2 linked regions of the Schizosaccharomyces pombe genome follow. The protein of the gene in region 1 interacts with the protein of each later gene in a pairwise test. Each region holds a gene or a part of one and is shown in the gene's direction. Other genes may lie near its edges. The genes, in order: spt16 and abo2.

The links.
Region 2: the proteins of spt16 (region 1) and abo2 interact in a two-hybrid assay, tested with the Schizosaccharomyces pombe proteins (one large-scale study listed by BioGRID).

What each region holds. Positions count from the first base shown.
Region 1 is NC_003423.3:3,669,749-3,675,426, forward strand, and holds spt16 (histone H2A-H2B chaperone, FACT complex subunit Spt16), read left to right. Parts: upstream 1-1,531; 5' UTR 1,532-1,710; coding exon 1,711-4,770; 3' UTR 4,771-4,874; downstream 4,875-5,678. Other genes in the region: RNA methyltransferase Nop2, read right to left, coding at 5,003-5,678.
Region 2 is NC_003423.3:1,437,941-1,444,795, reverse strand, and holds abo2 (ATPase histone chaperone), read left to right. Parts: upstream 1-2,074; 5' UTR 2,075-2,223; coding exon 2,224-5,829; 3' UTR 5,830-5,961; downstream 5,962-6,855. Other genes in the region: nrk1 (nicotinamide riboside kinase), read right to left, coding at 1-18, 121-145, 200-231; SPOM_SPBP22H7.04 (uncharacterized protein), read right to left, coding at 5,962-6,729. UniProt on the Schizosaccharomyces pombe protein: Probable ATPase which may play a role in nucleosome organization.

The sequences.
Region 1 (5,678 bases):
AAATGGTCCTAAATATAGTTATAAAGCAGAATTTATGTGTTAAATTTTCCTCAGCAAATAGCGAATTTGGTATGCAAAGGATTCTCAGAAAGAAAAGGGATTGAGAACAAATATACCGCAAAAAAGACGATATTAACTCAAGTAGACCCAATTTGAGGTTTTGTGATACAAAAAACGTTTTATTTGTTTTGTAAACATACTCTTTATATATGCATGAGTGTTCGTGTGTATGTAAGCGCCGTTTTTTCACGGACTCATATAACCGAACCCCATTTTTCGTAGTAGTAGTTCGTTTTTCTGCCTACATAAAATGGATGAGATCCATGATATAAGGATCTGGATATTCGTTTTTTTGTTTTCTTCATGAAATGTGGCATTACCTGGATCAGCACTAGAAATTGATTTTAATAGCAGCGCATATTTTGCATTTACTATATATTATTACTATATCCAGTATTTCGTGGTAAGTTTCATAAAAAATATTGAACAAATTCTAATAAATTGTAAATTCGTTTTTTGAATTTTAAGCCATACCCTATATCACCAATAAGGCTTACAACAAAGTTATATTTAAGATATTTGTATATTTTGTTACTCCGTGTTGACCCAAGAACTTATATTTTTATTGACTTCACTGGTTGGAAAGACAAAAATATCATGATAACCAGATATGAAACGTATTTCTTGCTATTATTTGTTCCGAAGCTTAAGATATCGCTCCTTATGGATTATTTAAATTAACAATAAAGTTGCTGATCCATTTAGCCATGTATAATTAAAACTACCACCAGTAACGGTTGAAGATTTAGTAAACTAAATTTTGTCTTTAAGCCAAAAACACTTCAATACGATGTTCGTCAGCTATACAAAACATTTTAAAAATTTCATGGGGATAATACCGTATATACTTTTAAGATAAAATTGGTATTTAACTGGTTAGTCGCGTAAAAGGGTTACAAACCACTTAATATACCTTATTTTTAATGGTGCATTTCAAAATTAGTTTCATCTAAAGCAAAGGTATACCGGGTAAAAATGATCTTTATAAATGGCTTACTAGTTTTGCGTTGTAGTTTTATAATTTGTTCTACTCAGTTCATTTTACCAAGCAAATCAATTTAATCCGTTTAAAGCTGAGTGCTCCAGAATTTGTGCCACTTTTCAATAACTAAAGCATTAAGTAATATCTATTGTCTTTGGATTGCTTGACGTAGGTAAATGATTTTTTAAATTACTACAGCTCATATATGTACGTAGACGTATTCAGACATGTATGTATAGTATTCGTGCTCCAAAAATTATAAAGCTTGTCCAACCGTTTACGATTATATACAGCAAAGCGTGATATTCATCCTGCTCTTGAAGAACCAAAAAATAAATAAATAAATTTTATTTTTTTATGATGCTTGTGGTCTATTATAAACATTAACAAGCTCAAATAATCAAGCTAGAACACATGCAGCGTAAGTCGAGTCGCGTCGCAGAAATCCCAGCCCTATATATCTACATTCAAAAGTACTACCACTTACCCACCTCCATCCACAAGATATCAAAAAAAGCTATCAATCAATAAAAAAAAAATAAAACAATTCCTGTTTCTTTTTTACAAAATTTTAAGAAATTTTGTAAGAAAAAGCCTTTTTGCCCTTTCAGATAAAATAACTATTCGCTAAAGAGTGAATATATCTTAAATCGTTAATTAAAGGTAAAATGGCTGAATATGAAATAGACGAAATTACATTTCATAAACGCTTGGGCATACTTCTTACCTCCTGGAAGAATGAGGAAGACGGAAAGACGCTGTTTCAAGACTGCGACAGTATTTTAGTAACAGTAGGGGCTCATGATGATACGAATCCATATCAAAAGTCCACTGCACTACATACATGGCTCTTGGGTTATGAATTTCCATCGACTTTAATACTTCTTGAAAAGCATCGAATCACAATCCTTACATCAGTTAACAAGGCCAATATGTTAACGAAATTGGCTGAAACCAAGGGGGCTGCAGCTGACGTTAACATCTTGAAGAGAACGAAAGATGCTGAGGAAAATAAAAAGCTTTTTGAAAAAATAATAGAGTATATTAGAGCCACCAATAAAAAGGTCGGAGTATTTCCTAAGGATAAAACACAAGGAAAATTCATTAATGAATGGGACTCAATTTTTGAACCAGTGAAATCAGAATTTAATCTTGTGGATGCATCGCTTGGCTTAGCAAAGTGTCTTGCTATAAAGGACGAACAAGAACTTGCTAATATAAAAGGAGCATCGCGGGTTAGTGTTGCGGTTATGAGTAAATATTTTGTTGATGAACTTTCGACTTATATTGACCAAGGAAAAAAAATAACTCACTCTAAGTTTTCGGATCAGATGGAAAGCCTTATTGATAACGAGGCTTTTTTTCAAACAAAATCTTTGAAACTAGGAGACATAGACTTGGATCAACTAGAGTGGTGTTATACTCCCATTATTCAATCGGGGGGTAGTTATGATTTGAAGCCTTCTGCTATAACAGATGATAGAAATCTTCATGGGGACGTCGTCCTATGCTCTTTAGGGTTTCGCTACAAATCGTATTGTTCTAATGTTGGTCGCACTTATTTATTTGATCCTGATTCCGAACAACAGAAAAATTACTCTTTTTTAGTAGCGCTTCAGAAAAAGTTGTTCGAATACTGCAGAGATGGCGCTGTTATTGGGGACATATATACGAAAATTTTGGGTCTTATACGTGCTAAACGTCCTGATCTCGAACCTAATTTTGTAAGAAATCTAGGTGCCGGCATTGGCATTGAATTTCGCGAATCTTCACTTTTAGTAAATGCCAAAAACCCACGCGTTCTTCAAGCCGGGATGACTCTAAATCTTAGCATTGGATTTGGGAATTTGATTAATCCTCATCCTAAAAATTCTCAGTCTAAAGAGTATGCTCTTTTATTGATTGACACAATTCAAATAACAAGAAGTGATCCAATCGTATTTACTGATTCTCCAAAAGCTCAAGGTGATATATCCTACTTCTTTGGTGAAGATGATTCTTCTCTTGAAGACGGCGTAAAGCCACGCAAACCACCTACTCGGGGAACGGCAACTATATCAAGTCATAAAGGAAAGACTCGAAGTGAAACCAGAGACTTGGATGATTCTGCTGAAAAGAGGCGTGTTGAGCATCAAAAGCAACTAGCATCGCGAAAACAGGCTGAGGGATTGCAACGATTTGCTCAAGGTTCTGTTCCGTCTAGCGGCATCGAAAAACCCACTGTCAAACGATTTGAGTCGTACAAGCGTGACTCGCAACTTCCACAAGCAATTGGTGAGTTACGTATTCTAGTAGATTATCGAGCTCAAAGTATTATTTTACCCATTTTCGGTCGGCCTGTCCCGTTCCATATATCTACTTTAAAAAATGCTAGTAAAAACGATGAGGGAAATTTTGTGTATTTACGACTAAATTTCGTAAGTCCTGGCCAGATTGGCGGTAAAAAGGATGAGTTACCGTTTGAGGACCCTAATGCCCAATTCATACGAAGCTTTACTTTCAGAAGTTCAAATAATTCTAGAATGTCGCAAGTATTCAAGGACATCCAAGATATGAAGAAAGCAGCTACCAAGCGTGAAACTGAACGTAAGGAGTTTGCTGATGTTATTGAGCAAGATAAATTAATTGAAATAAAGAACAAGAGACCTGCTCATATAAATGATGTTTACGTTCGCCCTGCTATTGACGGGAAACGGTTGCCTGGATTCATTGAGATACACCAAAATGGTATTCGGTATCAATCGCCATTACGTTCAGATAGCCACATTGATCTTTTGTTTTCTAATATGAAGCATCTCTTTTTCCAGCCATGTGAAGGCGAGCTTATCGTTCTTATTCATGTTCATCTGAAAGCTCCGATCATGGTGGGAAAAAGGAAGACCCAGGACGTGCAATTTTATCGCGAAGTTTCTGATATTCAGTTTGACGAAACTGGAAACAAGAAGCGGAAATACATGTATGGTGATGAAGATGAATTGGAGCAAGAACAAGAAGAAAGACGGCGTCGTGCTCAATTAGATCGCGAATTTAAATCATTTGCTGAAAAAATCGCTGAAGCAAGTGAGGGACGAATTGAATTAGACATTCCATTTCGCGAACTTGCATTCAATGGTGTTCCCTTCCGTTCCAATGTTTTATTGCAGCCGACTACTGATTGCCTAGTTCAATTGACAGACACACCATTTACTGTAATTACACTAAACGAAATTGAAATTGCACACTTGGAGCGTGTACAATTTGGTTTAAAAAATTTTGATTTGGTTTTCATCTTTCAAGACTTCCGCCGCCCTCCGATTCATATCAATACAATTCCAATGGAGCAATTAGATAATGTAAAGGAATGGCTCGATTCATGCGATATATGCTTCTATGAAGGTCCTCTTAATTTGAACTGGACCACGATTATGAAAACTGTCAACGAGGACCCCATTGCATTCTTTGAAGAAGGAGGATGGGGATTTTTGGGAGCTCCGAGTGATGATGAAGGAGATGATAGTGTCGAAGAGGTTTCTGAGTATGAAGCTTCTGATGCCGACCCTTCTGATGAAGAGGAAGAAGAATCTGAGGAGTACAGCGAAGATGCTAGTGAAGAGGATGGTTACAGTGAAAGCGAAGTGGAGGATGAAGAAAGTGGTGAAGATTGGGATGAATTGGAGCGTAAAGCACGTCAAGAAGATGCTAAGCACGATGCTTTTGAAGAAAGACCATCTAAAAAGAGACACCGGTAAACTCACAAATTTACTTCACTTTCTTATTATTTATATGTAGTTTATTCTAAAAATTCCAGAATACTTTATAATAAAATATTCCACTGAATTGAGATTTGACAACCAGATGGATTGATACAAAAATATAAAGACCGGCTCTTTACGACAACCTATTAATATAATTGTTGTAGTAACACGCGAATCAATGTTCAGTTACCTTTTATTGTGTAATCCCAACCTAACCAAAATTATTCTAATCCTTTTTTTTTGCAACCTTATAACCTTTAGACTTCAACCATTTGCGACGATTCTGCTCGATAATCTCCTTATCGGCTTCATCATTGAAAGTAATATTATCAATTTCAGTAGAATTCTTTTCAATTTCAACATCATTATTTGTTCCATCCTTCATATCATCAGCCACATTTACAGTAGGGATTTTATCAGAAATCTTTTTCAGTTTGGCAACGAAAAAACCGTCTATATTGTGAACATGAGGATAATAACGTCTAGTTAACTTTAGACTTGGATGAAATCTTTTTTCACGAAAACGGGTAAACCCTTCACGTCCAAATTCAAGTCCAGTGGACACTAGCTTAACATTAGGGCGCTTCTTTAAAGCATATTGAATAACTGCTTCATCTTCGTCAACAGTAATACTGCAAGTAGAATACACGATAAAACCACCGGTTTTGCTGTCAGCATTGACAGAATCAATAGCGCTTAGAAGCAATTGCCTTTGTAAATGGCTAAGAGTATCAAAATCCCTTTCAGATTTGTTAGTTTTAACAGACTGATCTTTATATATAACACCAGTACCCGAACATGGGGCGTCAAGGAGAACACGGTCAAAACCGCCAATTACTTCGTTGGGAAACTTGCGGCCATCGTAATTACATACAATAGCATTACGTACACCTAAACGATGA
Region 2 (6,855 bases), 2.2 Mb from region 1:
TAAAAGCTGGCATAGAGTCTGTCAAAACAAGAAAGAGAAATTGGTTAGTACTTCATTTTTTTTTTATTTTGGAGTTTTTGATTTTATTTTATTCTTTCTTATTAATCAAAATTATCATACCGATTTTCCACTACAAGAGGCACCACTAATTTTTTCTTGTTAATAAAAATTCATTAAAACAATTGCCTGTAGAACTTACCTAACCCCAACAATGATAGTTTTCCGAGTCATTCTAATGATAATATGGAAAAATGAAGGTAAAAATTGAGACAAGAAGCCTGGACAGAAGCTGGATACTGGAATTCGGTCTGTTATATTTGCACAACACAATTAATTAATTACCAGCCAAAAGCTGTAAGACAGGTTAACCGAATTTTAAAAAGAATTTGGATTTAAACAAAGCGCCTAGTATCTTAAATCAAGCTCGATGATTATTTGTTATGGAAATAAACGAGAATTTTAAAAAGATATGTGGTAAAGAAGCCGAATCCACAAAATTTTATAACAACCAACAAAACTTTTAGATATACAAGAACAAGTAAAAGATCACTTATAACGATTTCGCAAGTATAAGAAAATGGAAAAAGAAAGGAGTATACAAATTCTTTACGGTATAAATGGAGGATTTGAAAGATAATTTAAATTCACCAAATATTAACGCTTTCGAATACGTATAAGAATTTTTATATGGCAAATATGCCCGGTAAAGATTAATGGTGTTTTGAGTTATTGATCGTTTAAAACAAGAGTGAAATAGGAGGAAGGCTGGAGTTGGTAGTATGAAGATATGGTTAGTAGTATAATCAGTCAATAATACAAGGCTTTGGATGATAGCAATATACTAATCCGCTCCCGTCATGTATCCTTTACGAAAAGATAGGGTAGATAATAAGAGTAAAAAATACAATTTTTGTTTAAAATATATATATTTTTTGATTAGATAAAAAAAAGTGGTTCACTTTTTTTATTTATTTAGCCAAAGTATGTAGGAAATTGGAATTCTTTAATTGTTTTGCGAAAATTATTTTATTAATTATTGCTTTTTCCTTTCAAATTTGTGATAAACTATGTCTGAATAATATTAGTTTGCTATTTTCATTTTTTAAGTCGTTTTAATGTCTTTTGCTTATTGTTTACATTACACTTACTTAGTTCTACGGTAGCAAAGTTTTTATCAACTCCATGAAATGCGAATATTTCGATGAATTTAAAAAATATATGTATATTGGTTGAGTTTCTTGAGGCCTTGTTAAACGATTTTTGTAGTACTACACTTAGTAAATATAAAATTTTTTAACACTAGGTGTTTGGCTTCAGTTTTCCAATTTGACTAGCTTCAATTGCTTTTCCAAAAAAAAAATAAAAAAATAAATAAAATATAATAAAGCTATAAATTGCATGTAAATTGGATGAAACAATAGAATTAGTAATAATAATAAATACTGAATTCAAACATTAAGGAAATTTAAGGACACTATTTTAAAAATGAAATCAATATTGATCGAATTTCAATGGATCTGTATTGAATGCCAATGTAATTAGGAAATTAAAAGACCTTTTGGTTTAATAAAAAAATAAAAAAAGCCGTACCGATCTCTACCTTTGTTCATTATATCAATCTAATATGAGACGTAAAACTACGGATTATGAATAGTAAGTTTTCAAAGAGATTATAAAATAATACTCTTTGCATAAATTCTTCTCATCCTTTCAATTAACAGCGAAACGACGAAACACTGACAATCAATTAAATAAAAAAAAATACTATATCAGTGAGGAACGTCAAGTGAAGCTCAAGATTCGAAGTTGGCAATGAACTTTTATCCTCATAGAATTTCAAATCTATCCACATGTCTGTAAACAATGCATCAATGTATGGATATTACCAATGTACTAAACTGATCGTGGACAAATAATCTCAGAAAAGTCAATTTTTAAACAATATTGTTTTTGTAAAGATACTACTTCTGTTGTTTAGTCCAAAAATCCACTTACTCTACTATGTGCTTTCCTTTTCTTATAACGCATTGTTACGAACTTCATTTATTTACTTTTCCTTACAAACCTTCCATTCGTAAACCAGCATGTGGAAAACCTAAGATATCCCAAATTTTTTGGAGCCTTTAATTGTGCAATTGTAAATAAAAAATCTACATAACAAATTGTCTTAACCAAGTTGACAACGTCTTAATTTGTTGGTGCCAGCAGTGCATTTTGCGTGCAATGCGCAGAAGGGCCAGATCCATTCGTTTTAGTTCTGACGATAATGAAGATAATGAAGAAGATGATGATTATTACTCCAACGCACACAGCGAAAAATCAGAGGATCATTCAAATCATATAAAAGTTTCACATTTTGATCCTTCCTCCTATAAACAAAAGTTAGTTTCAGTGCGTGAAACTCAAAGAAATAGAAAATTCTCTTCGTTACAGAAACATCTAAACACAGAAACGCCTTCTTTTTCTGTTTCTATAGAAAATCCTTCAAAGCCTTCTGCGGCATTCAATGATGCATCATTGGGAAAGAAGAGTACTGAACATCAAATTGATGGTATCAGAAATGGAAGTAGTAACCTTCAAATGGAAGGAAATGATAAAGAGCTAGACACTGATAATAATGAGGACGAATCCACTACCTTTAAGGATGAAGAAGACGATTTGATAAGTCCGAAATCATATCTTACTTCTTCAAAAACCTTTTCGTATCCAAAAGCTCCAACAGAATCAACAAATGGTGATTATTTAGATGAAGACTACGTAGATGGACAAAGTGATCCTGAGTCTTCGAACGCCAGTGATTCTGACTTCGCGGATAGCCCTGATGATTTGACAAAAGTGCGCTCACCCATTCCAAGTAGAAGAGGACGTAGAAAAAGAAAAATGAGAGGTCCAATTTTGCCAGTTAAAAAAAATTTAAGGGTCAAGAAGGCAATGAGTCCTCTTCGCGCTGAGCGAAATTCACCAGATTTCCGACGCAAACTTCGTAGTCGTGACAATCGACCGAATTATCATTTATTTGACTATTACAACGAAATTGCATCTTCCCCAAATCCTTCAACAACGAAGATTACTTATAATCCGCCAAAATTGCCTATGAAAGATTTTGCTACTCTTCCCATCGGTTATCAAAGTACTTGCGATAGTGATGAAACGAGTGAGTTGAGCAGTACAAGTTCAGAGCAAACTTCCGACGTTGAAGGACTTAATGCTTACAATAATTTGGGCGCTAGTTCAGATATTGAGAATGCTCCCTCCTCTCAACTTCACTTTGGTCACATAGACGAAAAGACGATTAGAAGTACTGACCCTTTTGCCAATAGGGAAAATCTTGATTTCAATTCCATAGGAGGACTGGAAGATATTATACTTCAACTGAAAGAAATGGTGATGCTTCCTTTGTTATATCCAGAAGTATTCTTACATCTGCACATCACACCTCCTAGAGGTGTCTTGTTTCATGGTCCTCCAGGGACTGGAAAAACACTAATGGCTAGGGTGTTGGCCGCTAACTGCTCGACCAAAAATCAAAAAATTAGTTTCTTCTTGAGAAAAGGGTCTGATTGTTTAAGCAAATGGGTTGGCGAAGCAGAAAGGCAACTTAGGCTTTTATTCGAAGAAGCTAGAAGAGTACAACCCAGCATCATATTCTTTGATGAAATAGATGGGCTTGCTCCTATTCGATCTTCAAAACAAGAGCAAACTCACAGTTCCATTGTCTCCACCTTGCTTGCTTTAATGGATGGCCTCGATACGCGTGGACAAGTAGTAGTAATTGGTGCTACTAATCGTCCCAACGATCTTGACCCGGCCTTAAGGAGACCCGGTAGATTTGATCGCGAATTCTACTTCCCTCTACCAAATAAGCAAGCACGTATGAAAATTCTTGAAATCAATTCTTTACATTTTTCTCCAAAAATACCAGAGAGCTACTTATTACACTTAGCGGAATCTACGTCTGGTTATGGTGGAGCAGATTTAAAAGCTTTATGCACCGAAGCAGCCCTTAATGCAGTTCGACGCACCTTCCCCCAAATTTACACATCTTCTGACAAATTTTTAATTGACCTGAATGAAATATCCGTTAGCATTTGCGATTTTGTAGTCGCATCTGAGAAGATTGCTGTTTCTACACGAAGAAGTGATGTTAAGCCGAATATACCTATTACGGATTCCCACAAAATTCTGTTTAAGAAAAGTATTGAGGTTATAACGTCAAAAATTAGACGACTATTAAAACTTGACGTATATTTACCAACGGTCGAGTCTTTACAAAAACTTCCTGCTGAAGAGTTGATGAGGCAAAAAGAAATTAACTCTCTAAAAACTACCATGTCATTCCGCCCAAGACTATTGATTACTGATATTTATGGATATGGATGTACTTATTTAAGCAAAGTGCTTTTCTCTATGTTAGATGGTATCCACGTGCAGTCTTTGGATATTTCTGAGTTGTTAATGGACACAACCACATCTCCGAGGTCTTTGTTAACCAAGATATTCTCTGAAGCCCGAAAAAATGCGCCAAGTATTATATTTATCAATAACGTAGAAAAATGGCCATCTCTATTTTCACATAGCTTTTTGTCAATGTTCCTTCTTTTATTAGATTCAATTTCCCCTTTAGAACCTGTCATGTTACTGGGGTTTGCTAATACTAATCAAGAAAAATTGTCGTCTACCGTCCGCTCCTGGTTTCCTTCTCATCGAAGCGAATATCATGACTTGTCGTTTCCTGATTATTCATCAAGATACTCTTTTTTCCATTACTTGCTTAAACGTATTTCATTCCTTCCCATTCACCAAAAGAGCGCCGAAGCAGCAAGCGTTGATATTTTACCCAAAGTACTACCAGTTTCTAAAACATCAGATTTAACCGACAAAGTAAACCGAAGACAAAGAAAGAACGACAAGAAAATAAAAAACAAAATTCAGGTTAAACTTAGCTCAATACTTGAAATGCTTCGCTCTCGTTATAAAAAGTTCAAAAAACCGATAATAGATTTAAATGACATTTACATTGATGAGTCGAACGAAAGGGTGGTAAAAGGAAAATCGAAGGATAATTTTGAGTATTTCCTTTCAGGAAATACAGTCACTCGTAAAAAAGACAATGCTTGTTTCAAAATGATGAACTTTGAGGAAATTGAAAGACGCTTATGGAGTGGACGTTACTGTACTCCTAAAGAGTTTTTGCGTGATATCAAAATGATCAAACAAGATGCGATCCTGTCTGGCGACGTGAACCTCAAACACAAAGCCAAAGAAATGTTTGCGCATGCCGAATTAAATGTTGATGAGTTGATTGATGCAAAGCTGTTGTATGATTGTTGTCAAGTCTCCAAGAGGGAAAAGGCATATAAACAACTAAAACAAAAAAAACTGAACAATGCAAAGGATGCTCATGAGATGCAAGAATCAAAGAATGAAGAAACATTTGTGAGAAACGATGTTGCACAAGAAGACAATTTCATTGAGCTTTCGTCAAATGAGGTTCGCAACGTTTCTAATGATGAACATAAACATACTTTATTTCATGGACAATCACTTACTCATAACAATTTGATTGCTGTCACTCCACCTAGCAGGACTGGTGTTGAACACAAAGAAGAGAACAAAAAATACGATAACGTAAATATTCAAAAAACCTTGGCAAAATGTGCAGAGGAATTTGCTGAACATACCAATTTTAATAAGGTGGAACTACTAGATTTTGTTTATTCCAAATTGTCATCCACTATTTGGGAAAATCGTGAGGAGCATGATCTTCTTAAGATAGTTCGGGATGTAAGACAAACTTTCTTTCGGTCGCTTGAGGATATGGGTGTTTAATGAAATTTTGGGTTAATGTGTCTAAGCGATCTGTTAGTGAGATACAACAAATCTAAATGATAGTTGGTAATGAATGAAAGCTCACAATAAAAGATAGGAACCACGAAAGAAGATACATTTGAAATTGAAAAGCTAATATCGGTTTCCGATGACACAGAATAGTACGTCCTTTGAATTACCAGCATATTTTCCATTTGCATTTAAAAGATAGTAAAATGGACGATCGCGAATTTTCAGAGTGATTGGGTTTTTCTGTAGGGAGTAAGTAACGATTGATACGTCTTTTCTTGGAACAATTAATGATTTAGAAAAATAAAGCTTGTTAAATGGTGATAAAAATCCAGTTACAATTTCAAACCGTTGGGATGGTAAGGTAGAAATTGAATAAATATTTCGTCTTGGTAAAAATAAAATCAACGTTAAAGTAAAGTAAAGAGCAGGAGTAATAAAAGCAGATCCAATATAAGATAATTTCTCGTAATAATCCATATCGACCCAATTGGCAAATATCTCATCTTTTGCGCGATATATGTCAACACTGGCAAAAGAAGTAATCACACAGACATTTATAAGCATCCCGACAGTTAATAAATAAATAAGACTGATTTTCTTATCTGCTTTTGCTTGATATACAAGAAAAGGCTCCCGAGTTGTCATTGCTTGCCAAGCAATTTTCGCTGGGGTTGCATTCCGTTTTGAGGTAATATCTTTCAGTATGTTAGAGTTATGGAATTTTTTGATGGGCGGCTTATTAAACACTCTCAATATTGATATTTCCGAGAAAGACTTCTGAATTGGACGCAATGACCTAAACATAGGATTGAACATATTTGTTGAAACAATTCGAGACAACAACGCCTTATGCCTAGCAACACGTATATTAAAGATTAGCATACTCATAACTTCGCAACATGAAAATGTTCAATTGATCAGCTTAACCCTTTAATTAATTAAATTACCCGTGTAAATTCAAGGGTGAAGAATTGAATGTAAATACGTGTAAACATTTTAGCAAATGTTTTACGC